2 linked regions of the Notamacropus eugenii genome follow. The protein of the gene in region 1 purifies or fractionates together with the protein of each later gene. This does not show direct contact. Links are inferred from orthologs where the notes say so. Each region holds a gene or a part of one and is shown on either strand. Other genes may lie near its edges. The genes, in order: PAG1 and FYN.

Region 1 (15,888 bases):
TATGTGGATATCAGAAACATGAATTCTAAAATTTCTCTTTTACTGTCTTTCAAGCTCTTCAAATTCATCTCTCTCCAACTGCTCCCATTTACTTCATAATCATATTCTGCTTTCACTGGCTTTCAAGGACTTTTACAGTAAGTTTATTTTCATTTGAAGCTATTATTTCCTGATCTCTCTCATCTACCTCAAATCACAGCTACTAATTGTATTAACTATTAGCTGTCTCCTACGTCAGTCATCCAGTTACCTTAATGACCCGTTTTAGTTTAGTTGTAATTGTTTTTTCCTTTTGCTTTTAGCTAAGACCTCAGTGGCAGTCAGTCAGTCAATAAACCCTAAGGAACTGTACTAAATGCTAGGGACACAAAGAAAGATAAAAGACAGTCAGTTCCTGTTCTCAAAGAGCTCACAGTCTAATGGAAGACCAGAACCTCAGAACTGGAAAGGCCTTCAGATCCACCCCTACTTGCTACATAACTATCTACCATTCACCTAGCTGCCACTTCAACACAACTACTCCTACCCAGATAAGCCATTCTATTTTTGAAGGGCTCTAATTGCTAGAAAGCATTTCTATATATTAAGCATGTATTGGTTGAAAGAGTAATAGATTTAGAGTAAGAAAATATGGATATGAATTCTGTGTCTGACTCTGAGCATCACCCAACTTAGATATGGAAGGGCTAAAAGATGACCAAATTCAGGGCAATGGTTGAACAAGTTTGTGGTATATGAATATAATGGAATACTGTTGTGCTGTAAGAAATGATGAACAGGCAGACTTCAGAAAAATCTGGAAAGATTTACATGAACTGATACTGAGTGAAGTGAGCAGAACCAGAACACTGTACATAATAACAACCACAGTCTGCGATGACTGATTTTGATAGACTTAGCCCTTCTCAGCGATGCAAGAATCTCAAACAATTGAAAAGTTCTCATCATGGAAAATGCCATCCACATCCAGAGAAAGAACTATGGAATCTGAATGCAGAGAGATGCAGACTATTTTCTTTTTTTATTTTGTTTTGTTTTTTCTTCTCATGGTTTCTCCGATGTGTCATAATTCTTCTATACAACATGACTAATGTGAAAATATGTTTAATAGGAGTGTGTATATATATATATATCTCCTATATTAGATTGCAGGCCACCTTGGGAAAGGAGGGAAAAAAATTGAAAACTTATGGAAGTAAATGTTGAAAACTAAAAATAAATAAATTAACTTAAAAAAAGATTATCAAATTCAACTCCCCCATTTTGTCAATAAAGTCACTTCAGACCCAACTCAAAGAGTTAAGTTGACTTCAGGTTACATAATGAAGAAAGAATATGACCACTTTGATAATACTGTGTGTAACCCTGGACAGCTCACATGGCTTTTTCAGGTCTCAGTTTCCTTCTTTGTAAAATGTGAAGTTCAAGATCAGGTCTAAGGTTTCTTCCAGCTCTTATGTTCTTATGAAGAATTGGGTAAAAATTCCTACCTATGACATATGCTTTTTGGTCTTCTTTAAATGATAAATTGATCATTTAACAGAAATTTTACATTGGGGCATTCAAAAAAAAAAGGCATGTTTGTTAGTTTGTGCTACATACAATACAAATCAATGCAGTTTGTTTCAAGCAAAACTGGTCTTCCTCAGAATTAAAATATTACAAATGTCAATGGTGATTCACTTTTTAGTATTTTAAGCAAGCTAAAAGAAAGGTGCCCATCAAACGCAAAAGAACACTGGGTGTGACATGTAGAGAAGATGAGGTCATGAAAGAAAGTGAAAGGCCAGAGGGTAAAAGAAAATAAAATGTTGATAATTTGACATTCAGAACTTTTTTTTGTTGTTGAAGAATTGGTCCCTTTACATCACTGAAAGGGTTCAGAAGGGACATATTTTGAGTCTAGCCCAACAGAAAACATGTGCCTTAAATACTGCACCTAAAGTTTTCCCAATTCTCTGAGCTTACTCCATGTACATCAGTGGGTTACTTAGAATAAATATAGCAAAGAGTTCCAATAAAACACACAGAAAAATGAAGGTGCCATTAAGACAAGTCCAAATACAACATAACTAAAATCAACATATTTTGCCTTTGATCAGGTGAAAAAAAATAGAATATACATTTTGGAAAGGTTCCCAAAAAGGCTTTAAATCACTGTCAAGATGGGAATTGGAAATGGGGAGTGGGAAGAGAAGGGGGTTTTAATGAAATATTTCTACTCCAGAACAACACAATTCAAAGCAGATCATCACCATTGATCATTCTTTTAGATTTATGGATTAAATCTTCTTTAAAAAGAAAGCTATTCTTCTTGGAAATGACAGATGACATTGTTGTTAATAATGTGCTATTTCCTGAGGGAAGGCAAACACAGGGTGAGGGGAAGAGTAATTTTCCCAATATTTATTGTTGACTTTCCTTTTAAGTTTCTCAAATAAAATTCATTTTTTAATCATCTAAGAAAACTGAGATTTCTGTGCTTGTCATTTCCTTGATAAACATATTACTATGATGTAAACCTTTACCCTTACAGAGATAAACACTCTGTGGCTCCACTATCATTTGAAGGATTGATATTTCCTGTTTCACAAAACTAGCATGTGGTTTCCTTTTTTAAGTTGGTTGGGCCTCTTAATCTTAGTATCTTCTTTCCCCAAAAGGTGTAGATATGAAGTTTCTGTACAGTGGGTACCAACTGCTGTTTGTGAACAGGAAACTTGTCATACAACCATCTGGAGTTGGATCTAGTGGTACACAAAGTAGGCAATAGTTTAGGACATTCTATGCTCTGCGTACAAAGAAAGTTAAAAGGTGGAGAGAGGGCAAAACAAAACTGATGAGTAAAAGAAAATGGAATAGCAATAAATGCCACTGTTCATTGCACTTAGGTATCTGTTGTAAATCAGATCAAATGTGGTACAATGAGGGCTGAAAACTCATTTTAAAAACTGTACACATTCAAATACAGCAGAAATGGAGGGAGGGAGTGTTTAGAAGGAGAGTGATTTTCAGACCTTGCCCAAGACATAGAGATGCATGGTGCAGAGTCTACAATCACTAGACTTCTCTACCTAACTTGTCTTTCACTGGCCAACGTAACAGCACCAAAAATCAATCCTCAGCGCCTTCCTGTTTATCTAGTCACTAGACTGTAATGAATGGAACACTAGACTAATAAGAACAACAGAACTAATATAATTAACATATATATAGCACTCTACATTTTGCAGGGTACTTTAAATTAAATTATATAATTATAAATGCACAAAAATCCTGTGAAGTAGCTGCTATTATTATCTCCATTTACAGATGAGTCTGAGAAAAGTAAATGATCTGCCCAGGTTTGTACAACTGGTATGTATCTGAGGCAGGATTTTCACTCAGGCCTCAGCCTCAAGGCCACATAGGTTCCCCACCCCTGAGTATGCCCTGGTTTTTAATGTGTAAAATAAAGACAAAACCACCTATTCTAAGTTGCTTATTATTCAGGAGAGATAATAAAGTAAAAATGTCTTGAAATGTATAAAATGCTATGCATAAAAGGTCTACCTTGGCAGCAAAGTCCCCAAAAGTAACATTTCTAGAGAATTTAGGTGTCTCAAGACTTTAGAGGCTGGTTGACTTTAGACTTCCTTTATACCCAAGTCACCCTAAGAAAACTCTCCATAGCTTTTTTTTTTTTTTGCTAATTTGTCTGGGACTTGGATGCTGGGTGGCAGGGCTTTGCCCCTTGGTTCCAGGTGCATATTTGTACCTGGTCTAAATAATTTGTAACCAGGAAAAACAAACTTTCTTTAATGCTACTTATCCATCTATATCTATCAATCACTCTTCTTCCCTTCACTAACCAAATTTCTTAAAAGAGGGGGTCTACTCCTTAAACCCTCGGATTCTGGATTCTTTTGTTCCACTACTTCACTGAAACTGATACCTTCAAGTTGGTCTAATTCCAATAGCTTTTTCTAGGTCATCATCCTTCTTACCCTCTCAGTGACACTATGATGAATCAATCATTCCCTCTTTGGAACTCTTTCCTTCAGGCTTCCTTGGCACTGCATTACTTTGATTTTTTTTCTTTTTTTCCTTTTCTTTTTTTGGAGGCAATAGAGATTAAGTGCATTGCCCAAGGTCACACAGCTAGTAAATGTATGAGGGTGAATTTGAATTCAGATCCTCCTGACTCCCGGGTCAGCCCTCTATCCACTGTGCCACCTTGTTGTCCCTACATCACTTTGCTTTTTATCAAATCGCTCTATTTTCTTTCACTGGCTCCTCTTCCTAATTCTACAGCATAGATGTAGCCAATTCCAAAGCCTGTTCTTAGCCATCTTTTCTAGAACTTTCTCCCATCTCAGGTGGAGCTTCAAAGCTCAGCTTTAAGCCCACTTGAGTCTTTTCTTAATTTCCTCAGTTGTTAAATGCTCTTCTTTTTTCCAAAACTTTGCATGAATGTACAATATATGTACACATGCATACATGCACACATGTATGTACGTATATGTACATTTGCGTGTACATATATGTAGGTTTGTGTGTACATATATATGTAGCTGTCTAGTCATTCAGTTGTGTGACTGTTCACTCTACACTTTTCCATGGACCTGTCCATGGGGTCTTCTTGGCAAACATAGATACCAGTGGTTTGCCATTTCCTTCTCCACTCAGTCTCCATTTTACAGATGAGGAACTGAGACAGAGAGAGGTTAAGTGACTTGCCCAGGGTCACACAGCTAGTAAATATCTGAAGCCCAATTTGAACTCAGATCTTCCTGACTCCAGGCCCTGTGCACTATCTAACCACTGCACTACCCAGCTACCCCATATATCATCTGTGTACTTATTTATGGACATTCTGTCATGCTGCTTCCCCACAGGGCGCCTTTGTGGATACCACCAGTAGCGAGTGCTTCTTATCCCTTCCCACCACAAAACTACTTTTTACATTTTATATTAATCTGTTTGTGCATATATTACCATGCTCCCAATAGAATATAAGCTCCATGAGGGAAAGGATGATTTTGTCTATGTTTCCAAATCTCCAACAGTTACTCCAGTGCTTGGCACATAGTAGACACTAAAATGCATATTGAATTGAATATAATGTCATCTCTCGCCTTATTCTTAATTCTCGTGACTTTAATTATCATTCCTGTGTGAATAATCTTTAAATCTTTGTTGTCTCACATCTCTCCAGTCGTCACGTACAATTGCCTGTTGCTCATCATCTGGATAGCTCAACATCTCAAAGTAAACATGTCCAAAACTAAATTTGTTATCTTGTCCCATCAAAGAGGCTTCTCCACCTCACTTCCTTGTTTCTGGTAACACCATCATTCTCATAGTCACTCAGACTCAAAATTGTCCACTTTTACTTCTCTACCCAATCCAGTTAGTCACAAAGTTCTGGGAATTGTCTGGCAAATCTGACTCCAGGCCCAGCAGTACTTTATCCACTGTGACAGACACATAGCTGCCCAAGTAAACTGTAAGCTCTTTGAAGGCAGGATTCATGTTTCTCCAGGAGTACAGAGATAGACATAGACCCAGGATGCCTTGATTATCTTTGATAGAATATCTTAGTTAATGAAAAGGCAGAGTTTATACGAACTCAATTGCTTGTGTCCCTCATATGTCAATGGAAGGAACAAGCATTTATTAAGCTATGTACTAAGTGCTTTATAGACATTATCTTATTTGATCCTTACAACCTTATGAGGTAGGTGTCATTATTATTCCCATTTTATAGTTGGGGAAACTGAGGGAGAGAGAGGTTAATTGACTTGCTCAGGGACACACAGCTAATAAGCGTCTAAGGTTGAATCTGAACTCAGGTTTTCTTGAGTCTCATGAGGTCAGTGAATAGAGGACTGGCTCTGGAATCAGGAGGACCTGAGTTCAAATCCAACCTCAAACACTTACCAGCAATGAGATCCTGGTCAAGTCACTTAACCCTGTTTACCTCAGTTTCCTCAGTTGTTTGCCTCCGTGCTTTATTTGTATAAATGAGCTGGAGAAGGAAATGGCAAATCAATTCAGTTTCTTTGCCAAGAAAACCTAAAATGGGGTCATGGAAGAATCAGACACAACTGAAACAACTTAACAATTTCTTGAGTCCATGCCCAGTGCCCAATCCACTGCTCCACCCAACTGCAAATCAGGGTCCTGGAGACAGTAAAAAGATACACATTACAAGCAGTGTATACACAATCAATTTTCGATCTCTACAAAACTGATTAATGAAATTTACTAGAGTATAGAATCTTTTAGCATATAAAATGTAACAAGAAAATTATACATTCTTGAATAGACATTGGAAAGCAAATAAACTGGGACAGATGGTTATTTTATATGAAGGAGAAATATTTCTTATTTAATTTACACAATGATGCAACATACAAAAAATAGGATGATATATTAAATATAATTTTTTTTAAGTTAGATGGGTAAATTTGATGGATATTTGTGCCTTAGGATCTGTAGCAAGTCATTTCAGCTGTATTTACAAAGGTAGGAAAAAAGATTGATAGTGTTATGCCAATACAGGAAAAATAACAATTTGCTCAACAATTCTTGTTACCTCTACCAGTCATGAAAGACCCATAACATATCCCATTTAGAAACATTTTCTAGAACAATGATACATATAAATTTTTTTACTTGGAAAAGGATACCATCATAGATTGTAAGTCTTAGCTATCCATTAATATTAAATAGCCTAAGAAACTAAAATATGTAGATACTTAAAAGAGGAAGACCAGGATATTTTCATATAAGTTGCCAGGGACTAACATAGCACTTTAAAAAAACCCCAACTATATTTAATGTTTACAAAAAAAATTAAAAATTGATAGTTTGCCTTATGGTATAAAGAAAATAAAACCTACTCCATTAGACAACATATGTATACATAGACCCCAGAATAAAAGTTCTGTATAATGAAATACCTAAAATAAAATATACTTTTCTCTCAGTTAAATGTCTGACAGTCATATGCCTGGGTTTATAATGGAATTAATTTCTTTTATCTTAGGTCCAAATTAAGAAAAATATTTTGACATTGGAATGAGATCAGTTCTGCAGCAGTGTTTTCAATGGCTTCTAAATCACATACATCCTAAATTGGTTTCTTAATTTTTTTCTACAGTCACTGTCCAATAGCCTCACAGTAATGCTGAATTTCAAAATCTACTACTCTTATAAATTTAATCAACTCAAGAATTAAACACCAATGATGATATATTGCTATGTTTAAAAGGACTCCTCTGGGGGACAGATGAGAAAGAAAGGTTAAAGAGTTCTATCCTTCAAAGTAGTACAGTTCAGCTACCTATAAATCATTCTCTGTGTTTATTAAGTTAATTAGGCCCATCAGTACACTTAACTTTCAGGCTCAACAACTGTCTGGCAAGCATGTTTTCTACTTTTTGTAAAAAGCATAAGGAAAGTCTTCAAAGGCTGGTACATACTGTATCTGATTTTCAAAAATGATTTATGCATCCAATTCCTTGTGCTGCTTTGAAAACAGACTCAACTCTTCCTTCTGTACTATACTATTAAGAGAAGGCTTTTCAATTTGAAAAGTGCAGTATGATTCAAACTGCAGGCTCCTATAGCATGTCAGCATTTGCATTAAATCCTGATGAAGTTGGATGTTAACCAAATAGAACGGAGCCCCAAAGCTGCAGACACTGCAGTGAGAGATGGAGTTCTAACACGCGCTCAGAGAGACTTCACTGTTCTCCTTACATTAAAAATGACAGCTAAGGGAAAGTCATGGAGTCCTCTCAGTTTGAATCCTTGCCCTTTGTCAATTGCCCCTGCATTCCTAAAGTTACATGATATTTCTTCCTACGCCACCTCCAACTTAAAGTGTTGAATTTGTATGTAAATTCGTTTTCCCCCTAAAGAGATCTGTCCCCAACGCTAACAACTTCTGTCCCTGTACTGAGAACTGAGGTAGTTAGGCAGACCAGTGACCTGGAAAAAACAGCTTTTCCTCTTGCCTCCCTTCACGCAAAAGACGCGGGTCCATTGCAGTCCTAGCCAGACGGAAACCCGCAGAATCAACTCCAGTGCAGACTTGACATAAGGCACATCAGCCTCTCTCTCTCTCTCTCTCTCTCTCTCTCTCTCTCTCTCTCTCTCTCTCTCTCTCTCTCTCTCTCTCTCTCTCTCTCTCTCTCTCTCTTTCTCTCTCTCTCTCTCTCAAGATGTTTGGAATGTGCGCTTAGCACTAGGCAAAATACCATCAGAGCACCTGTCCTCCCGAAGCACGCTTCCAACTGGTGCCTCCGTCAGAGGTTCAAGGGTTGTCACCCAGTAAGTAGCCCATCCACCCCAACCAGTCACCAGACACCCTTCTCCCTTTCTATGGGCAGCGTGAAGGGTAGGGGCTCTCTTTCCACCCCCTCAGCCCCAAGCTGCAGCTAAGCCAGAAACTGCTGGAGAGGAGAGAGGGGGGCCATAAGCCAATTCCTCCAAGCACCCAACACAATTCTCTCCTCCCTCCACCCCCACCCCATAAAAACAAACACATGCAAACCCAGCACTGCCTCTTAGTTTCTCCTCCCCCTGTCCCCCGCCCCCTTATTCAACTTCAGGAAAACTGCATTCAACTTACTGGGATCCAGACGCCCTTGGCTACAGCAGCGGCCCCAGCCCAGGCTCTAGGGTGGCAGCCGGGACTGCGGAGCCTGGCTTCAGACCAGCCTGGTTGTGTCGGAGCAGAGCTGGAGCAGAGGCGCAGGAGGAGGCAGTGGTTGCAGTGCAGCTGGTGGAAGAAGGCGTCTGGCGCTGTCCGTACTGAGCCTCGGATCAGGCAAGAGCTCCGGAGCCACAGCAGACAGGGAGGCGGCAAGCAGAGGCTAGGGCTGCGGGCTTCCTCCGAGCAGCTCCCGGCGACTCCTCCTGGTGCCGCCGCCGTGGGAGCCTCTGGAGTGTGTCCCCAGTCTGATGGAACTTGCTGGGTTTTCTTTTCTTTCTTTTCTAAAGGGAAAAGAGGGAATGCAGAGGCAGAGAAGACGCACGGCCAAGCCGCCAAGCTTCCCGGGCGCGGGCCAGTCACAGTCCCGAGGGGGCCCCTGCAGCCCAAGCGGTCCGCTCGCTGACCCGCACAGCGGAGACTGACAGCCGCGGCGAGCTCGGGCTAGCTGAGACACAAGTGGCGGCAGTGCGCATGTTCCCCCAGAGCCTGTGTGGTAGAGGCCATTGCGGCACGTCACTGAGTGAAGGAGGGAGGGAGGGAAAGGAGGCTGGAGGGCGGGGTGCGCTGGAGGAGCGGAACCCTCTCCGCAGCTGGGTGCAAGAAACCTCCAGCCCAAGGCTGGGTCCCAAAGTTCCCAGGAAAATACGTTTAAAGGAGTGGCTGGGTTCTCAGGCTGGACTAAAAAAGTCCATTATCTAGCAGAACTCATATAGAAACGATTGATAAAGAATAGATTCACTCACCGTTATAGAGTATTTTGAGGTTTACAAAATATTTTCTTTTTCAAAACGTCCAAGATCTCTGTTTAACCTGCCAGTAAAAAACCCCTCCATGAATTCTTCCCTTGTAGTCCCAACTGAAGATGTTTTTTAGCATCCCCAAAGGCTCCCTTTACCTATTCACACTAGAACTTAAGTGTATACATTGTATCTCCTCTCTTAGTAGAGACCACACTCCTGGAAGGTAGGATGATTACTGGATTATAGATTTAGAGTTAGAAGAGAATTTAGAAGCCATCTGGTCCAACCCTCTCGTTTTATAGGTGTGGAAACTGAGGTCAAATGACTTGCCCAAGGACATACCAAGAGAAAAGTAAATGGAAAAACTGGGATTTAAACTTAAAGCCTCTTGATACCGAATATATCTCTTTCCTCTGCACCACATAGTTTTTCTTCTTATGGTTCCCAGTACCTAATATAGTGCCATTAAAATAATCGCGTTTAACAAATGTTGGTTGAATTAAATTGAATATTAAAATTCAGGAGTACCAGGCTCAAATTATGCAGAACATAATTATGGTAGCCCAATGTAATTGTATTTTAAGCCAATATTATGGACACTAACTTCACAAAATACATTATAGCATTTTTTGAAATTTGATCACCTCCAGAAAAAGGGATGATTAAAAATTGCTGCTTAGGTTACAGTAGTCTCTATCTTGGCTACCTCTCTTCTGCTCCAGGTAAGCCATCTTTGAGTCACCTTTGAGTCTCAGTTTCTTCATTTGCAAAATGAGACTTTTCTTTTTGTAGTTATCTTGTCAGACTCTTCATGACCCCCTTGGTGAAGACACTGGAGTGCTTTGCCATTTCCTTTTCCAGTTCATTTTACAGGTGAGGAAACTGAGACAAACAGAGTTAAGTGATTTGTGCAGGGTCACACTGCTAGCAAGTGTCTGAGACCAGATTTGAATTCTCAAAGATGAGTCTTCCTGACTCCAGGCCCCGCTTACTATCCACTGCACCAAGAAGTTGCCTCAAAGGAGGCATTTGGTAGTCACTAAAGTCTTATCTAGTTCTACATCTAGAACTCTTGACTGCTTCCTGGCAATTTATGTGACTCCCAAGTGAATTCCATCATAAGAAGCAGCATTGTGAATTAGAACATCCTCTGAATTTGGTGCCTGAGAACCTGGGTTCAAATCCTAGATCTCCTGCTTATGTGACCTTGGGCAAATAATTTAATCTCTGTGAGACTCACTTTCCTCATCTGTAAAGGGAAGTAGTTGAACTCAGTGACCTCAAAGGGCCTTTCCAGCTCTGAATCTTTGAATGACCCCATGACCTCTCTGATCTTCAGTTTTGTCATCTGCAAAAACACTTGCACTTTCTGTCTTACAGTGCTGTTATATCAAATGTATGTGGAAGTGCTTTGAAATGAAAGCTGTTATTACTCATATATTATTATTATCATAAGCTTACCCTACAGAGAAGTAGGGATAATATCCACAGTTTTTCCCAAGGCCTATATTATTCCTTACAGGTCAACAAAGCACACTTATTTCCTGTGTTAAGATTCTACTCCTAATCAGTTTCTTTAAAGGCCTTGTTTGTGATATCTTTGATTATCTATGTGCTGAGGTCTCCATTTAAACTATCCCCTGCATACTCAAAAAAACCCAAAAAAACAAATAAAAGATGGATTTATGTTAAACTTTTTTTATTTCAGCAGAAGGGACAGCTAGGTGGTGCAGAGGACAGAGCACCAGTACAGGAGTCAGGGGAACCTGAGTTCAAATCTCACCTCATGCACTTCACACTCACTAGCTGTATGACCTTGGGCAAGTCATTTAACCCCAATTGCCTCATCCTGGGTCATCTCCAGTCATCCTGATGAATATCTGGTCACTGAATTCAGATGGCTCTGGAGGAGAAGTGAGGCTGGTGACCTGCACAACCCTCCCTCACTCAAAACAAAGTCAAGTGCAAGTCATGTCATCATTTCTCTGGTGGCATAGTCTTCGGCAATGAAGGATGAACACACATTTCAACAGAAAACGGTAAAAATTATCACTAAATTTGACCCAGTGTTTCTTTCTTTGGTATTGTTAGTTATAATTTGTGCAGAATTTTCGCTTAGAAAGCATCTTTCATCTGAAAATCTGTGAGTTCTATGTTTATTTTCTACTGTGGGTAAGCAGCTAATACATGCAAAGACCCAAAAGAAGAGCTGGGAGGAGAAGCTTTGGACAGTAAATTCACAAATAAAAATTTTTTAAATTATAGTTTCAAATTGTTTCTTGGAAAAGATTTATTCTAGTTCTCTTTTCATGTGAGCACAGAGTAAAAGCTAAACAAATTTGATCTTCAATCTCTAGGAGAGAATTCTTTGAAATAGGCAGAAAAGGCAATTCTTCTTATAATAATACAGAGAGTCCACAATTTATGAATGGATTGTGTTCTAGTAAAGTGGTTGATTGGAATGTAGTTTCCTATAGAAATAGGATTATAAATGATGGTGAGGCTCCCAGAATAACCCATAAAAACTTTTTACCTGATCTCTCAATCTCAAACCTTTTTTATTCCTCAGCTTTGAGTCCCCTGAACCCCTCTAAATATTGGCTTTGGCTCCTCAGGTAGTGTTGGAAGAGGCTTCTAGTGGCAGGGAAGTGAATAAATTAATTTGAGTCATGGGAAGAGCTCTGGTGGCAGTACATTTGGTGAGAGCAGCCCTGGTAGGTAGCAAGGGTAGGGCAGCAAAACTCCAAGAGTAGCAGGGCAAGAGTTTTGACAGGATCCTTTCTTGAATTATTCCTAGGCTGACTATTTTTAAGTTAGAAACTGTCAGTTTATTTGTTGTTTAGTTGTTTCAGTCCTGTCTGACTTTTTGTGACCCCACTCAGGGTTTTCTTAGCAAAAATACTGTAATGGTTTGCCATTTTCTTCTCCAACTCTTTTTTACAGATGAGAAAAGTGAGACAAACAAGGTTAAGTGACTTGCCCAGGGTCACACAGCTAGTAAGTATCTAATCTAAGGCTACATTTGAACTCAGGTTTTCCTGACTCAAGGCCTTGAACTCTACCCACTGTACCACATACCCTATGTGTATATTGAGAATTAAATCTATCAGTACCAAATAACAAGGCATCAGAAGGAAATAAATTTATACGGATTTTTAAAAGCTAGAGCATTCTAAGTGTTTCACCTACTCAAGGCAGTGTACTCTAATGTGTGTCTGATCCTGGGCAAGTCATTTTAACTCTCAGTGACTCTAAGATTGTAAGTTGAGAGAAGGTGCTGACCTACATTGGTAGAGGGAATTTCTTCTCTTTGGAGCTCCCCATACTAATGAAATCACACTGCCCATCCTTATCCCTAACCCCATAGGCTTCTAACTTTTGTTTCATATCCCTTCCGTGATTTCCTAGTTGGTATTTGGCAATAGGGATATATCAAGATGCTATTTAAAGTTAAAATTTATAACTTGAAGTCTGCTATTGTTTTTAGCATAAAGTGTGCTTGGCTCTAGTTTTTAAAAGGGTAGGAAGGAATACTTTCCTCTTCTGTCAAGACTCAGTCGTTAGTAGCCCCTTGAGAGGACGTCCTGTAGAGAAGGCATTTCAGAGAGATCAAGGTAAAGCTTCCTAATGTCCTGTGACCACACAGTGCACTGAAATGAAAAATCAGGGCTTAAGAACCTGACAGTTCAGGAGCTTCCAACTGAGAGAAAAAAATTATGGGAACTGGGGTAGAGTGGCTATAAAAGTGGAAAGAGGTGATATCTTCGCACTGCAGATTCAAGTATGAAAATTGCCCTTGTCCCTTGGCCTATTTACCCGTCACATCTTGACATCTCTCAGGATAGAATGCTCAGAATAAGATCTCTCCCGCAGCCATTTTAGAAGAACTTTTTCATGAAAACTCTACATCAGTATTTCATCTTGGCATGAAGGTGACCATAAGTTCTTAAAGATAGCAGTAGACTCCAAATTTTGGAAGGTTTTGAGAATAGGTCCAACAACAAATGCACGTCTGCATGGAAGACTAAAATAGTATTGAGAGCTCACAGTGTGCTGAGCATTGTGTTAAGTACTGGGTATATTATTATTAATATTAAATATTAATAATTAATATTAAAGCAAAAAAGTCCTTTGCTTCAATGACTGTGTATTCTAATGGGGAAAACACTAGAATGAGTGGCTTGGCTTGAAAAATTGCCAGCATGGTAAATGAAACCATAGATGTGGCAATATGGACTTGATTATAGTTTGAAAACTGGAAAGCAATGATGGAAGGAAATGAGTATATACTGGAAGGCAATGATATCTCTAGGTTGCAAGTGAATTATGATTGGGGTTGGCTAGAATTGAAACACTCACAAATCAAGACAGCATGGTCACCAAGGTGGGAGCTCCAGAGTTGAAAGGGTTACATGCTACAGGGCATGGTATCTGGTATATCTCTTGTAGATCAGAGATATCAAAGAAGTTGTCTCTCTGAGGGTTCGAGCAAGATTAAAATGTTACTGGGAAATGTTTAGCAAAATAAATAAAAATACAGTAGAACATAATGTTAAATTGTGATTTTCTAAGTCAATATGTAGCTGGCATCGATGTGTTTCTAGCTGAGTTTGACATGGCTGTGTAGAGCATTTTTAATCTGATTCCAGCTACACTCTGGAGTTTTCTCTGAGCACACTGGAATTGTATGATCCCCAAATTTGATCTTTCTGTCATTCTAGCTTAGGGATGAGAGGCTTATCCATAACTTGGTTGGCAGCGGATTAATATTTGTGGCCCTAACAACTCATAAAGAGCAGCTACTAAAGCAGTGAAGGGTGGCAATTTACATCAGTGGAGTTAATGGTCAGTCAGTAAAATCATGGATTCTTGAAATTTGAAGTTAAATAAAAAACTGGTGCTGTGGAAAGAGGGAAATATTTCCGCTAGAGCTGTTGAGAGAGTTCTTAAATTCAATTTTAATTCTTCTAGCTTTGCCATTTCACACAATAACACCATTAATATAAGCTTGTCCTTTAAATGGTAATCAGAGAAAATGCTATGCTCTGTTAATCTAACACCATTTGTAGTCCTAAGCAGCAGATGGGAAAAGATCAGGGAGTGAGAAAAGTGCTGAGATTGAGGTAAAGAAGCTGATGAAGAAAGGAGATTTGAGTGAGAGCGCTAGTGAGTACTAGCATCTCTGGATCACCAACATGGAGAGAATCACAGAATCTGAGGTAGAAGGGACCTCCTAGGAGATCATAACAAGTGGTCATTCAGCTTTTGTCTGAAGATCTTCTGTGAAGGAGGAATCCTCTACTCCCAAGGCAGCTCATTTCATTTTTGGAGAGCTATTAACTGTTAGGGAGTTTTTCTTGCAAAATTCCACCCACTGTTTCTGCCCTCTGGGGCCAAACAAAACAAATTGATTGTTCTGCACATCACAGCCTTTCAAATACTTGATGTCAGACTTTCTTTCCTCAAAGTTAAACATTCCCTTTATGGTCAACTAATCCTGAGAATAGCATGAGGGAAGGTAGAGTGGTAAAGTAGATTCACTAGATTGGGGGCAGTCACACTCTGGTTCTGCTTCTTACTATGTGTGTGCCCTTGGGCATAGTATCTTGCTATTTTGGAACCCAGTTGCCTAATCTGTAAAATGAAGGAACTGAACTAGATGACAACTAAGGTGCCTTTTAATTCCAAATCTCTGAACCAAGGTTCTTTTCATGACCCCCAGATGCCCTTCTTTGGACATTCCTTAGATATCAAAACCTTCTTCAAATGTGGTACTATGAACTGGATATGACATTCTAAATGGAGACATCAAGATATAGAGATGTTGCAGATGCAAGACCAGGACAAACCACAGAAGTACTACACCATCCTTATTCCTGGAAGCTTTGTGACTCGTATTGTAGTTGCCGTTAGTTTTTTTTCCTTTTCTTCCTTCCTTCCTTCCTTCCTTCCTTCCTTCCTTCCTTCCTTCCTTCCTTCCTTCCTTCCCCTTTCTGATATTTTATTTCTTTCCCAATTACAAGTAAAAACAATTTTAACATTCATTTAAAAAAAAATTTCAAGTTCCAAATTCACTCCCTTCTCTTCCCCTTCTCTAAGACCAACAAACAATTTGATATAGGTTATAGATATGCAATCATGAAAAATATATTTCCTTGTTAGTCATGCTGTGGAAGAAAACACAGACCAAGAAAAGACAAGTGCATACATGTGCATGCACATACACATGCACATAAACGAACACCATAAAGAAAGTGAAAAATCGTGTGCTTTAATCTCTATTCAGACTCCATCAGTTCTTTCTCTGGAGGTGGATAGCATTTTTCTTCATGAGTCCTTTAGAATTGTCTTGGATCATTGTGTTGCTGAGAACAGCTAAGTCATTCACAGTTGATCATGGCACAATATTACTCTGACTGTGTACAGTGTTCTCCTGGTTCT
Region 2 (15,662 bases), on another chromosome or scaffold:
CAATCGATTTTTGGTTTCAGTTAAATTCCAAACCAAATCCTATTGTTCAGACCAAGAGGGAGAAATCTTTCTCCTCTTCTCCTCTCTCCAGCCCAAACACACACAAGAGAGCATTACAAGGTAAGAAGTAAATATAGAAGGACGCTACTGTACACAAAAGATATTTTAATTGAATATTTGTGGCTTCCTCTTTTCTAAATAGCCAAAAAACAAAAACAAAAACCCAAAGCACCAACAACAAAAACTTCACTTCGAATATGCTACTTTCTAAGTGTTTCTATATATATATAAATTTGCTTTGATTTGTGGTTTGACACTTCCCTTCAATCCCATTGAATAGAAACTTTTAAATGTGCAACCCTGTTACTCAGCGCGCCTCTGTTGTCAAAGAGAAAAAACCCCTCACATCTCTTGGCTGCCTTTGGCTTTCCCAGTCCCCCGAGACCTAGGCAACGAAATGAGCACGGGGGTGGGGTTGTGGGTGGGGGGAGGGCAGGGAAATCAGGGTGACCATACTTTTGGCATGAGCCCAGGTTTCCAATTTTCTAAGTTCTTCGGCCAGTTTCATTCTCCTCTCCATTGTGTCATGCTAGTTGAAAGACCCAGGAAAAAAGGGGGGCCATGGGAACACAAAGAAACAAAAGAACACCCACCATGGGGTGAACAGACAGGAAGCTTTGCTAATAGATTTCAAAAGTGTAAAATCCTGGACCAATCCTGTGTCTTCAAAGATTTACTAGATAGAAGCAGAACTCTGATGCCTATTAAAGAGTAAATTAGCATAGTTGGGGGGGAGGGGAGAAGTTTAAGGAGGAAGAAAATGCCGGTATTCAAGGGATAGTGAAATAAATGTTCATCCTTAACAAGGCCATATCTAGTTCTATACTGTAGTTGTTTGTCCATTTGCTTAAGTAACACTTTTATTGTCTTTTAATTTTTTAGAAATTTACTTCTGCATAAACACATAGCTTCACTAATTTGTACATCTTGAAGTTTCTTTGGCACCAGACTCTATGGTCTCAGGAATACTGAAAACTATTGCTTGGCTGAACCCCATGGCTTTGTCTGCTATAAAATTCTGCCTTCCTGTCAAGCATTGGGAAAGTAAAGCACAAAAAATCTTGCTTGAAATCAGAATTATCCTAAAGCTGTAACAGAATTATAATCTTAGAGCTGGAAGAGGAAGTTGCAGCCTAGGAAGGGTTCTTGACCTGATAGTAAAGTAAGTTCTTAAGAGTAAGGATAGTTTCTTGATAGTAAGGATAAATTTTTAATAAATGCTTATTGGCTCACTAATTTGCCCAATACAGGTAGTATCAGAGGTAACCTTTGAACCTTTTCCCTCTGATTTGAGAGCCTGTACCACGCTACCTGACTAATACTTGGTATACAGAAAGGCATTTCCACTTCACTTCCCCTTTCACTTCTGTGTGGGCACCACTACCTTGTGAGTGCGTTTAGTATGGAATAGTCTGGATTCATTGACTTTTCTTTTAAAGGTTGTAATGACAGATTCATTTAATGGATATAGGTGACCATATGTAAAAATTCCAGGAGTCTTCAGATTGCATTGAAGTTTTAACAGATTGGCTACAAACCAAAATTGTTCATTTAGTCAGGATTTACTGGCTTTTTTTTGTGGGGGGCGGTATATGGAAGCTGACTTGACAGTTAAAAATAATAAACAATTAGGAGACATAGTATGGTATGGTGGTTAGAGTAGGGGTCTTGGAGTAAGACAGATCTTGGAGTAAGACTAAGGCAGGGTTCTAATCCTGCCTCAGACACTGTATCATTTAATTTTTTTGAGCCTCAGTTGACTGGCTTATAAAATAAGGGGTTTGGACTTGACCTCCAAGGTCTCTTCCTACTTCAAAGCAATGACCCTATAACTTATCAGATTTGTCTGGTGTAGAGAGCTAGTAAAGCTTCCTACCCTACTTTTTATGGGAAACCTTAAAGCAGATAACTAGAGGAATTGACTAACGCTACAGAAATAGATAAGACATCCATTCTGGACAGTTTGCTAAATCTTTGTGAAGCATTACAATGTTGCATTGGGAGTCAGAAGACTTGGGTTTGAATCCTGGCACAGATAACTAGTTACATGATTTTGAGTAAGTCACTTTTCCTCATCTGCAAAATAAGGATAATAATAGCATCTACGTCAGAGGGCTGTTATAAGGATAATATATGTAAAGTGCTTTGCGATCTTTAAAGAATTATACATAGTTATTATTATTGGAAGTCATTTGCTACATTGAGAAAAAATATTTGGAAAAGATAACTAAATTCCATTATTACACTATTATTGAGGGGCGGGGGTAGGGTCTTACATTTTAGTGCTTATTATATTATATGTTTATAGAAATCAATCTATTTCCGGGGCGATGATTTCATGTAAGGCACATATAATCCATATCATAAGTGATTTTCTCTCATGACAGAGTTCTCCTACATAGTATTAAACCTAGCTTCTGAGTTTTTGCCCTAGAACAGTGTCTTGATTAGAATATTTTATTGTGAAGCTGCTACCTTTTGTATGCCTGAATTCTTCATATTTCTTCACTTGAATTATTTGTGCCCTGGAACAAAAATAATTATAGTTTAGGTTGATAGATTTAAAGCACTTTTCTCATAAAAACTCCATAAGCTAGTGTATGTATTGTTATCCTCATTTTATAGATGAGGAAACTGAGTCTGAAAGAAGCTAATTGACTCCCTTACAGCCATATAGCTAGCAAGTGTCCAAGAACCAGCTAGGTGGTACAGTGGATAGAGCACCAGTGCAGGAGTCAGGAGGACCTGAGTTCAAATCTTACCTCAGACATTTGACACTTACTAGCTGTGTGACCTTGGGCAAGTCACTTAACCCCAATTGTCTCATCCTGGGTCATCTCCAGTCATCCTGATGAATATCTGGTCACTGGATTCAGATGGCTCTGGAGCAGAAGTGAGGCTGGTGACCTGCACAGCCCTCCCTCACTCAAAACAAAGTCAAGTGCGAGTCATGTCATTATTTCTCTGATGGTATGGTCTTCTTTGGCAATGAAAGATGAACACACAGGTTCAAGAACCTGGGTCCTTTGATACCACGTCCAGTATTACTCCATTACATTGCCTTTCTCATCTTCGTTCACTTGGTCCCCATGGTGGAAATTATTCCCCTTCCACCCATCTCTATCAATTGAAATTCTTCCCTACCTACATGGCCTAACTCAAGTGCCATGTGCTCCTTGAAATCTTGCCTACACACTGAAAGATGCATCTTCCTCCTGAATTGGAGCATTTTGTGTAGCCCTTCTGCTTACCCTTATCTTACCCTCCTTGTGTCCTAGTTATTTGTATACACTTTGTATACATTTTGTATACATTTTCACCTCATTAGATTGCACATTCCTTGAGAATACAGTTTTTGTTGTATGTATCAATATAGCCCTTGCACATAGTAGGCAATGACTTTAATACATGCAAACACAATGGAACATCTTTCCAAGTACAAAACATAACCTCAGGCACCTGAATTCAACCTTGTAAATACATTTAAAAATTTTACCAGCTCAAGCAATTTTTAAACAACACTACTCCATGAAGTAGTAAAATGAATGAATTGATCTTTTCTTCTCCATATAAACTATTACTCACCCTGGGTTACTAGGATATTTCCATAGCTGCCTTTCAACACAACATTTTACAGTAACTATGGCTTGAAATTCTGTTACTTCATTTAGTTGCTGGACATCCTCATAAAACATATTACTCTTAAGGTGGGCAAAATCTCAAAGAATCTCAAGACATTTTTGGTGGTTCTGCAAAAGTATTGGAAAGTATGTTCTTATTTGGCACATGGGAAATGTATCAATTTTTGAAAAAAGAATGAATAGTTTTAACCATTAAACCTTGTAGACGGGAACTAACAATATATGAGTATGTATGCGTGTATAGTGCGTGCTCTGTAAGAGATTGTTGATTGATTGATCTAATTTTCTCTTCTGTAAAATGGAAGTAATTTTGTAGTTATTTTTGGCAGTTCTTAAGCCCCTACTATGTGCAAGGTGTTTGCAATAAAAAGATGAAAATGCAACCTTACTTGCCTTGAAGGATCTTACAAACTGAAGTGCTCAGGAGATGACTTGCCTGAACTCACCCAGGAAATAATACAATAAGATGTCCTAATTCCCAATTCCCTCTTGTGTATTATGTCTAATGCAAGTACGGCTGAAAAGGAATAAAAGTAAATGCAGTCTTTTTAATTATCAGAGTATTTAGTTTCAAGTACTCCATTTTAACATATCTGGTAGATCTTAAATTGTGAGCTGTTAAAGGAAAGGAAACTTTTTTTTTCAATTTTTTAACATTTCTATTTAAAGTTTTGAATTCCAAATTCTCTCTCTCCCTCCTCTTCCTCCCTTTCCCCTTCTCTGAGATGGTAAGCAATCAGACATAAATTATACATATGCAGTTACATAAAACATTTCCATATTGATCAATTTGTACCAAATGACTTGAATAAAAGGAAAAAATGAAGGAAAATGAAAAATAACATGCTTCAATCTGTATTCAATAAATATAAATTCTTTCTCTGGAGGCAAATAGTATGCTTCATCAATGCGTCCTTTGGGATTGTCTTGGATCATTGTATTGGTGAGAATAGCTAGGTTCTTCACAGTTCTTCATCGAATAATATTGCTGCTACTGTGTACAGTGTTCTCCTGGTTCTGTCCATTTCACTATGCATTGGTTCATGTAAGTCTTTGCAGGTTTTTTCTGAAATCATCCTGTTTGTCATGTTAAGAAGACATGATATTAATAAGATATCAATATTCCATTACAATCATGTACCATAGTTTGTGTAGCCATTTCCCAATTGATGGGCATCCTTTGATTCCCAATCCTTAGCCGCCACAAAAAGAGCTGCTATAAATATTTTTGTACAAGTAGGTCCTTTCCCCCCTCTTTTTTAAATGTTTTTGGGTTAAAGACCTAGCAGTGATATTGCTGGAGAAAAGAAACATTTTAAAATCTAATCTGTATGCCACATCTAGCATAATGCATCATGTCAATATATATCTAATAAAGGGTTTTGATGATGACGACGTCTTACCTTGCAACATTTATAACATACTGGGTGCCATACTAGCAAAGCATTTGACACACAGAGAGAAAAACATTCCATACAGAAATTTTTAGTCATTGACTTATTAGAGTGTTAATTAATAAAATTACCTTAGATTCATAGATGGTACTTTGAAGTCTTTAAAAATCAGTAATGGCTAAATTAGGAAGTAGGAATGGTACTTTAGAAGATGAAGTTAGGAAGGTTAACTGGACCTGTCCAAATCATCAAAATCCATATTGGAGGCTGCACAACTTTGAGGGCCTTGAGGGATCATTTAGTAAGTTTTATTAGGGAGGGGAAGATGCCAAAAAGAATGGACAGAATTACCACCTCAAAAAAGTGATCAAGAGGGCATCGGGAACTACTCACCCATATTCCTACTTTATCTTCTTCATAACACAGTTATGAGAATGAGCAACATTTTTGTCCAGGGTAAAACTAGATGAAAATATGAGACAGAAATCCAGTCTTTCATGATTTTCTATAGCATAATGAATGAATAAATGAATTCACATAAATGAATAAAGGAACTTATTGAGAATTTACTAGTTAAGTCAACAATTACTTATTTTTAAATCATATTTTGTTTCCCCCAATTATATATAAAAACAATTAAAATGGCTTTTTAAAAGTTTTGACATTCTAAATTCTGTCCCTCCCTCCCTTCTTCTCTCCCTGAGATGGTAAGCAATCTGATACAGGTTATACATGTGCAATCACATAAAACCTATTTCCATATTAGTCATTTTGTGAAAAGGAAGAAAGGAAGGAAGGAACAAAAGAAAGAAGGAAAGAGAAAAACGGTATGTTTTAGCCTATATTCAGACACCATCAGTTATTTCTCTGGAGGCAAATAGCATTTTTTATCTTGGGTCTTTTGGAGTTGTCTTGGATCATTGTATTGCTGAAAATAGTCATCCACAATTTCAATAATCATTTATTAAACACCTGCTATGTGCATGGCATTCTACTAAGGGCTGAGGATACAAAGAAAGGCAAAAGACAGTCTTTGTTCTCAAGAAGATCATAATCTAATTCAAGAGAAAACACGCAAATAACTATACAAAATAGAGGCAGTTGGTAGCTCTGTGGATAGAGCTCTGGGCCTGGAGTCAGGAAGACCTGAGTTCAAATCCAGCCTCAGATACTTCCTAGCTGTGTGACTCTGGGCAAATCACTTATTCTCTGATTGCCAGACAAAACAGATTCATTGGAAAAGGAAATTGCAAACCACTCCAGTGTCTTTGCCAAGAAAACCCTAAATGGAATCAGGAAAGGTCAGACGAGATTGGACAACATGTATAAAACAAGGTATGTAAAGGATAAATTGAAGACAACCCCAAAGGGAAGGCACTAGCATTAAGGAGGATCTGGAAAGACTTCTTGCGTAAGGTTAGATTTGAGCTTAGACCTGAAGGAAGTCAGAATACTGAGAAAAGAAGGGATACAATTCTGGATAGTAAAAATGAGTGGAGTCTAGAGATGAGAGGAAGGCTTGCGAAAGAAGTAAATTAGGAAGGAAGCCAGTGTTATTGGATATCAGAGTACATGGGAGTAAGGTAGACTGGAAAGAGAGGAAAGGACCAGGTTCTGAAGGACTTTCAAAGCCAAGCAGAATTTTTTATTTGATCCTGGAGATAATAGGGAGCCCACTAAATTTATCAAATGGGATGGTGACATGGTCAGACCTGTGCTCAAAGAATTGTGCTAAGGAGTAGCAATACAAATAGAAAACACAGTACCTCCTCTCAAAGAATTCAACATTCTACCTGGGTTTGACAACACACAAAGGAGGCTTTAACTGCAAGTCAATGGAAAGGTCCTATTGTTCCTAAGAAACAGCAGTAAAGAAGATGATAATGCATCATCTTTAATGACATTTCTCCACTAATAAAATAATCCAGAGTTCCTTCAGTATTTGATCCACTCATCTGAACCACCTAAAACACTCAAGAAGAATCCAAATACTTTTGAGGAAGGCAGTAAATAGGATTTTTAAGGTGTTAAAGGAAATAAGACAGAATGCCCTCTTGATGGCAGCTTGTCAATAGGTACTTTGGATGGCATATTCAGTGTGGTATGAAACAAAATGTTGACTTAACAGTCAAAGGACTGGAATCTGACTTATTACCTAGGTAACCTTTGGAAAAGGACTTAAAATCTCTGAGACTCAGTTTCCTCATCTGTAAAATGAAGGGATTTGATCAGATGATCTCTAAAATCAGCTTTAAAGCTATGACTGTATGATCTCTTGGTTGATTGGTTATTGTCCTTCATTCTCGAAGAGGATCAAAATAACATCACCATAATAAAGTGAAATTTCAGTGTGTCAGACTGTGGCTGATCAGACCAATATGAGCTTGGAATGCTCTACCACAGGCTGGGCACAGATAGTCTGTATGAATATTTGGGGTGGATATTCCAAATTTGTACATCCTATGTTTACTTTGTGCTATTTCAATTCTGCTTTGCTCATAGAGCACAGCAACCTTTCTGATGTGGGCATGCTATGCTGAGTGGTCCTGTGCCAGTGTCTCCCATGTTGCACAGTCAAATCCAAAGTTCTTGAGAGAGACCTTGACAGTGTCCTTGTATCACTTCTTCTGGCTACCATGTGATCGCCTGCCCCATACAAGTTCTCCATAAAATAGTCTTTTGGGCAAGTGTACATTTTGCATTCGACCAACATGCCCAGCCCATCAGAGCTCACTCTCTGAAGCATAATTTGAATACTTGTCAGTTCAGCTTGAGCAAGGACTTCAGTGTCTGGTACCTTACCCTGCCAGGTAATCCTCAGAATTTTCCTAAGACAGTTCAAATGGAAGAGATTCAGTTTCCTGGCATGGTGCTGGTAGACTGTCCATGTTTCATTTTTAAAAGACAGACTTGTAGAACAAGTGGGAACAACCCATAGACAGAGAAAATTAACAGTAGCTAGCTGAGAAATTTGAGGTACTTGAAGTATTTTCAAAAGGATCCCTGCTTATCCTTTGGATAAATGTCAATATCTTCTCTAAGACAGTGTATCAGAGTCTTCTTTTTCTTCTTGTAGGTATTTTTAAGGGGACCAAATGAAACAGTGTTCTATGGCAATGTTATTATGTTCTGATTTGTCTTTATACAAATATTAGTCAGTGTGGTGCAGTGGCTTTGGAGTCAGAGGACCTCTGCCATTTACTTACTTGGTGACCTTGGGCAAGTCACTAATCTTTTCTTAGCCTTGGTTCTCTCATCTGTAAAAAGAGAGGACTGAAGAATAGGGTCCCTTAAGCCCCTTACAACTCTAAAACTATGAGTAGGTCCTCCTTACTCTATTGTAAACCCATCAAATCTGTGCCAGAGAAGGCAGACAGTAATAACTGAGATGCATTCCTTTCTCTCTGAGTTATGCCATTAGAATTAAAGCTTATTTGGAGCGGAGAGGGGTTTCCTTGCACAAAGCATTAAGTGCAATTTGTTATTATTAAATGAACGAATTTTAGTTAAGCCTCAAAGTGAAACTCTCAGATAAAGAGAAATCAATTATAAAGAAAATCAGGAAGGCAAAATTTTACTTTTCATGTAGATATATCTCATCATACAAAAGTTGGATGACAGGAAATAGACTGATTTATCCCCCAAATGGTGTATCCCATCCACCAAAAAAAAAAAAATTTTTTTTTAACTACAGAACATGCATCGGAGGGCAAAGGAGTGGGAAGCTTGAATGTCACCCGAAACCAAAGACAACATTTGGAGAGACAATCCCCGGCTACTATTACACATGATTTTGAAAAAATGTGCAAACATAAGCTTCTACCCTATCATTATGGTATGCACACACTTGAATATCTCTTCTTTCCACGCAGCTCTAATCTAATCACCACCAGGCTTGACCACTTTGGGGGTGGGAGGAATCCTTTCTAGAAAAAAAAAAAACCTTTGAATCTTTTTCTTTTATATAGATTTCCCCAATTTCTATCTTGGGGAGAGTACCCCCCCACACACACACACACCTTCTTCAGACTGTGTAGGGAGCACACAGCTCTCAGAACGCTTCGCTGAGCACCCTAACACTTTATAACCTTGTCCTCCCACCCCTGAAACACTGTAACACCAGGAGGGCAAGCCGCTACTTTGTTAAACAGGTTTCCATGGTTTTAAGGGTGGCAGGGGATGGGGAAATGCTAAAACTGTACTGAAAGGAGTGTTGAAGAACCAAAAGAGAAAGACTCGTAACCCTTAAAGACTGAACTGGACGCAGCACACTTTACCCACTCCTCAATTTTTTGCTAAAAAAAAAAAATTCTCCATAAGCCTTACTGCTCACACAGCCCACTCCGCGAACTCAAATCCTCCTTGTCCCCATCGGGATGCCCGCTGACACCCTGAAGCACACCACCAGCTCCCGGGCCCGCCCACTCCCGCCCCCGCCCCCGCGGCCGGGTCCAATGACGGCCGCTCTTGGGGGCTAGGCCTCCGGTGATAGGCTTGCAGGGCCTGCCGCTCTCAAGATGCGGCCCTCCCCCTTTCTCCGCCCTTCCCCTCCCTTTTTTCTTTCTCTCCCTTCCCCAAGCTGGAGGGGCCGGAGCATCAGGGGGAGTAGCCCAGCCGGGAGAGCAGCCGCGGCGTAGTTGCAGTTGCGCCATCTGTCAGGAGCGGGCCAGGGAGGAGGGGGAGGAGAAGGAGGAAGAGGAGGAGGAGAGGGAGAAGGAGAAGAAGGAGAGGGTGGAGGAGAAGGAGGAGGAGGAGGAGGAGAGGGAGAAGGAGGAAGGCTCAAGGCTCGCTGTGCAGAGGAGCAGCCGCGCGAGGAGAGGGGAGGCCACGGCCCCTTAGAGCCCCCTCCTTCCCTTGCCAGCCGGGGCGGCGCAGCGCTTAGCTCCCGGGGTGGTGGGGGTGGCTTGCGGAGCGCCCGCACCGAAGCCGCCGCCTCCCAGAGCGGCAGCTGGTACCCGGAGGGAGCCGGCCGCCGGGGCTGGGGGGGGAGAGACCCTGGCGCTGTCCTCCTCCCGCTTCTCCTGCTCCTCCTGCGCCCGCCCCCTCGGAAGGGTCGCCTGCCTGCCTCCCCGGGAGCCCGCAGAGGAGCGCCGGGAGAAGACCATGTGAATGGGGCTGGGAGCCTCAGGTAAGCGGGGCGGGGGTGGGCGGGGGAGAGGATGCTGCAGCGGCCGCCGCAGCCGCCGGCACCGGCTCCTCCTCCGGACCCCCGCATCTCCGGCCGCGGGGTCGGGCGCCGCGCGGCCGCTGCGGCTCGCCAGCATTCTCCGGACCTGACAGGCGCGCGGCGCGGGCTTCCCTGCACTGCCCCGGCGCGGCGGACCCCCGACCCCAGCTCCTTCCCCACCCCGGGAAGGACTGGACTGGAGCTGGGCTCGGGCTCGGGAGGGAGAAGCGGGTTCCGCCCCTGCTGAGCTGGTGGAGCCCCCCGCCCCCACCCCGGGGGACCCTGGCGGCGTGGGTTGCTCTAATGACAGGGATGATGTAATCATTTAATAATTGATGATTCCCAGTAAGCCGGGGCTTGGCCCCCTGCTGCTCCCCCTCCACCTCTCCATCCTCTCGCGGTCCCTGTAGCTGACGATTTCCCATGCCCATCCTCCTGCGGGCTTCCATCACCTCCCTAAGCGACTTCCCCCACCTTCTTTCCCTTCCCCCAATTTCCCTTTCCTTTGGCTTCCCGCCCTCTTCCGCCTCTCCTTCTGCTCCCCTCAGGCTTTTTCTCCTCCCCCCTCAGCCTCACCCTCTTACCCCTCGCCACCTTCCCCTCAGCCCCCCTGCGTTTCCTCTCTACTTCCCCAGATCATTTGCTGGTTTTTGTCTCCTCCTTTCTCTTATCTTTAAGCCCACAGGCTGAGGGTAGTGAGCCAGAAAGAGGCAACTAAGACTCCTCGCAGGGCGTTTATTTGCTGTGACTAACTGCAAAAAAGGAAGGGAGGAAGGGAGGGGGGCATGATAAAAGTATCCTCCCTTTTCTTTCCCTCAAATCAATCTCACAGGCTGTGTGTGTGTGTGTGTGTGTGTGTGTGTGTGTGTGTGTGTGTGTGTGTGTGTGTGTGTGTGTCACACAAAGGGTCCTTTCAGTTCCTAGAGAAGAGACACACAAAATACCCAAGAATGGTGGGGTTTCCTGCTTGTTTCTTTTCCCTGGGGCTTCCCTTTCTCTTTCCACAGGAGGCAGGAGATCTTCTCTCTCACATCCCCTTTCCTGCCACATTTGGGGGAAAGATAAAGGGCACCAAATGCCCATTTGTGGGCATTTAATAACGTCCCAGGAACTGTAGGGGATTTGGAAGTGGACTATTTTCTCATGGTTGTTATTGGTGTGTGTGTGTGTGTGTGTGTGTGTGTGTGTGTGTGTGTGTGTGTGTGTGTGTGTGTGTTTAAAGGTTTCAGCAGCTTAGAGAAGTTTCCTTTCAGCGTTAGATGGCTTCTTTCCTGACTCCGTTTTGTGGGGAGGGTGCTAGGGGCCTGGAGTTAGGGCTATGTTGGTGTGTTGAAGGAGTAGTTTACTCATGAATCAGAGAATGATATTAATGGGTTGATCCATTTCTTAGTGATAGGGGAGGGAACTGAGTGAGAGAGAACTGAGCCTCCAGAAAGACTTCATTTCTTTCCAATCAAGTATAAGCAGAGACTTTTGTTATGGAATCTCTTTTTTATGTTTTCTCTGTCGATGTTGGTGTCGCTTTGTATTTAAGTACTCAGAACCATTATGAAGGCAACAAGACTTGAGTGCCTCTGGAAATACTTCTGGAAACCTTGTCCCTTTCCTGCCTCTGTCTAGCCTTCTTTACTCCCACATCCTTCCTCTCACTACTTGTGTATTTTCTACTCTTTGTGTTCTAACCCTTTCACCCCTAGATCCTGCCCCATGTATCCCCAGTATTCAGGTGAAGATTGTTGGGTTCAGAAACTCTCAGAGGAAGTGGTTTTGTTAAATATCTAAAACTTGGAGGCAAGACTGGCTGCAACCTATAGAAGTTTCTATGTATCTTCTGTCAGAACCCTAAACCATCTCTCTCATGACACTCTCTAGGAAAGAGGTCCTTAATCTGTGAACTTTTTTTTTTTATATTTTGACAACTATTTCAAAATAATTGATTTTCTTTGTAATTCAATAGGTTTTATTTTATATATTTAATAACATTATTCTGAGAAAGAAACCATGGGCAGTATATGATAAAAAAGAAAGGGAAGAATGTCACAGCATGTGTGTGTGTGTGTGTGTGTGTGTGTGTGTGTGTGTGTGTGTGTGTGTGTGTGTGTGTGAGAGAGAGAGAGAGAGAGAGAGAGAGAGAGAGAGAGAGATACAGATACAGATACAGATACAGATACAGATACAGATACAGATACAGATACAGAAACAGATACTCTTGCTCTAGGAAGAAATGTAAAGTTGGGTGCATTGTATGCCAATTCCATAATGGCTAAACTTGAGTATTAAGAGTCTGGTACCAAACCAATACAAATGTGGGGCAATGTCTCCCAAGTTAATTCTGAAAGAATACTTTTTTTTTTTTTAAATAAAAGCTTTGTTAGAATTGAGATCCCATCCGTGCATATTTGAATTTTAGAAGCCTTTCATTGTAAGAACTTTTTATTTGGAAAAAGTAATGTGGTTAACGGGGTTACTTCTGAAAACAAAGGATGGTTTGTTTTTAGACTCTAGAAGGGCAGTCAATGCGCTTTAAGCTTAAACTCTGTTGTCTAACCAAAAGTGGCTTCATGGACAAAATTGAATTTGAACAAAACCCCCATGCTTTGGATTCTGAAGCTGCTCATTATAGCATTTCTATTACTTTCTTTGAACATTTTTAGGTCCTTGTGGCCTCTTTAAGTGAACTCTTTTTTTTTACATGTTCAAAATAATTCAATTTTTATTTAATAATAAGCTCATGTAATATAGAAATTTGTCTCCGCCCCCTTTTCACAGCAAGGCAATTGGCTTATTCCATTCTTTACTCTTAGCTGAATTTCTCTCAGCAAAGTTTTTTGTATACTCTCAGATCAGAGGAAGGAACCTTACCGGTCATCTAATCCAGCCTCAGTTATTTTACAGATGAGGCAACTGAGGTCTTGAGGTGACCCAGCTAAGGTTAATACGGCTTTGTTAGTGACAGAGTTGTGACCAGCACCCAGGGGGCCCTTTATGTTACATGCTTCCTCCCTTATTTGGCTCTGAATGGCATCAGATTTCAGTTATTTTGTATAGTTTTTGAGAAGAGAGCTTCCAGATGGGCTGCTAAGACATATTTCAATGCTTTGAGGTCACAATGCTTTGAAAGCATGTCAGGACCGACAAGCAGATTGAAGTAGGATCAGTCAACATAAGGATAGGGCCTCTATTCAGTTCATGGTGCCAAATTATATTGGTTGGAGCCCTAGGGTAGTGTGCTGTCAGTCTAGCAGCAGACGTGGGGTGGGGAGGAGTACCTCCAATCTTTTTTAGGCCAAAATTGATGATGAAGTCTATCTACCATCTGGTGAGGGCTGAAGTAAGAAAATAGTCTTCCTATTAGAAGGATTTTTTTTCTTCTCATTTTGGAGGATCTAAGAGTAATAATAATTGTGCCCTTTTTCTACTTCAGTACTATTTTTCTCTAGTAGTGACAACAAGATTGGTGGAGAGTTGTTTTAATTGTGGGAGGACCAAACAAGTAGGTGCCAGCAGTTTATTTATTATGACCCACAAGATCAAAGAGAGAAATCTTTTTGTATCCCGTCAGGGGATTATTTGATTAAAATAAAAACTATTTAAATCCCTAGTCAGGTGCACTATATTGAATTATATTTCCCACAAAAATACATGACTATTTTGATACAACCTTAATAGCTATTGTAAGCCAAAGACATATTTCAGTTGTTAGAAGAGATTTTACATTTTAAGGCAATGATTTGTTTTGCTATTTCTAGTTGACCTAAAGAAACAGCTTTATTTTCATTTTAAAAATCTAATTTGACTTCAGCCTACTCTTTGAGCCTTACTGTGTACAACTCCCCCCTCAGATATTGCATATACCCTGGCTAATCTACTACTTGTCTCTAAAACTGCCCCTCCCCTACCCCCTCCCTGGCTTCTGTTTCTTTTGCCAAAACTGGTCTCTGTGTCTGAAATGGCCATCTTCTTCCTCTAGCTCCATGTATGGACAGTACATCTAACCTTCAAGGCCCTTCTCAGGTGCCATCTTCTAAATGAAGCCTTCTCTGATCTCCCATCCTCCCCCATTCTTCTTTATATCTCATCATTCTATAGTAATATCATGTATATATCATATTCCAATTTTTATTATAGTCATCTTTGTATTTATTTTATCTTTTTCAGAAATATTAGCTACCAGTCTCCACCCCACCCCCACACCCTGGAGGCTAAGGGCTATGTTTTATTTACCTTCATATCTCTCCTAGCATGCTACACTGCACATATTAACTGTTAAATGTTTGTTGAACAAATTAGTTAATTAATGAATACACCTGTATACATAACTATGTTTTTACTTATATGAAAACTGACTTCTGCAGTAGATAAGATAGTCTTTGGATGCTCCTTGTCCTCAGGCCAGGTCCCACAAATTATTAGTGCCACTGATGTGACAAAGCAGAAATTGTCTCCATCTTGAAATCAGAATAATAAAATACTTAACCTATTAAAAGCATATATAAAGCATCTAGGCATTGAGTATTAGCTAAAGCATAGTAGCACTGGTTCTCACCTGGGAAATAGGTTGTTTATCTTGGTTAGCTGTAGTCTAATGTAACTTGTCAAGTTTGCATTGCTACCAGTTCAATTCAGAAAACATTTAGTAAGCTTATTGTACAAAGCACTTGGTTAGTTTTGCCTTTTGGATATTTTGAATTGAATGTCTTGTAAGCATCTCACGTGTACTGTGTCTAAAACAGAATTCTTTCCAAGGTTTCTGTTATTCCTCAGGGCATTACCATGGTTTGCAACTTTTGACATCATCTTCAACTCCTCTCTTACATATACCGCTTAACTAGTTAGTTGTCCAGTCATGTCATTTCTGTCTGCACAGCATATCTCACGTGTTTCTCCTTCTGTCCACTCACACAACCACCAACCTCGTTCAGGCCCAACTCACCTCTCCCTCCAGACTATTGCAATAGCCTCCTGATGGGCCCCATCCTACCTTTCCAGCCTTCTTACATGCTACTTCCCACCATACACTCTACAGTCTTGCCATTCTGGCTTACTTGCTGCTCTTCAAATATGGCACCCCATCTCCTACCTCTCCCTTTGCACTGGCTGCCTCTCATGCCTGGAATGTTCCCTCTCTTTACCTTGCCTGGCATCCTTCAAGAAGACTCAGCTCCCCTTTGGAATGAGGCCTTTCCTTATTGCCCTAACTGTTAATGCCCTTCCAAAGTTACCTTGTTATCTGTTTTATCTCCCTTGGCTTCAGAATATAGGCTCTTTGAGGACAAAGACTTCTATTTTATCCCCTTGGCCTGAACTAGACAGTAAATACTTGATTGATTGAGACACAAAAATTATGCAGGCTCCTCATCCTCAAGGAAACAATTAGTAAATATTCTTGGAGGTAGAAGA

Evidence for each region.
Region 2: the proteins of PAG1 (region 1) and FYN purify together in Homo sapiens (co-immunoprecipitation; 3 studies listed by BioGRID and IntAct, with this or other methods). This does not show direct contact. The link is inferred for Notamacropus eugenii from reciprocal best matches to the Homo sapiens genes PAG1 and FYN.

What each region holds. Positions count from the first base shown.
Region 1 is NC_092875.1:304,578,344-304,594,231, forward strand, and holds the start of PAG1 (phosphoprotein associated with glycosphingolipid-enriched microdomains 1), read right to left. Parts: upstream 8,726-15,888; 5' UTR 8,624-8,725; intron 1-8,623. UniProt on the Homo sapiens protein: Negatively regulates TCR (T-cell antigen receptor)-mediated signaling in T-cells and FCER1 (high affinity immunoglobulin epsilon receptor)-mediated signaling in mast cells.
Region 2 is NC_092873.1:192,202,172-192,217,833, reverse strand, and holds the start of FYN (tyrosine-protein kinase Fyn), read left to right. Parts: upstream 1-9,814; 5' UTR 9,815-10,223; intron 10,224-15,662. UniProt on the Homo sapiens protein: Non-receptor tyrosine-protein kinase that plays a role in many biological processes including regulation of cell growth and survival, cell adhesion, integrin-mediated signaling, cytoskeletal remodeling, cell motility, immune response and axon guidance.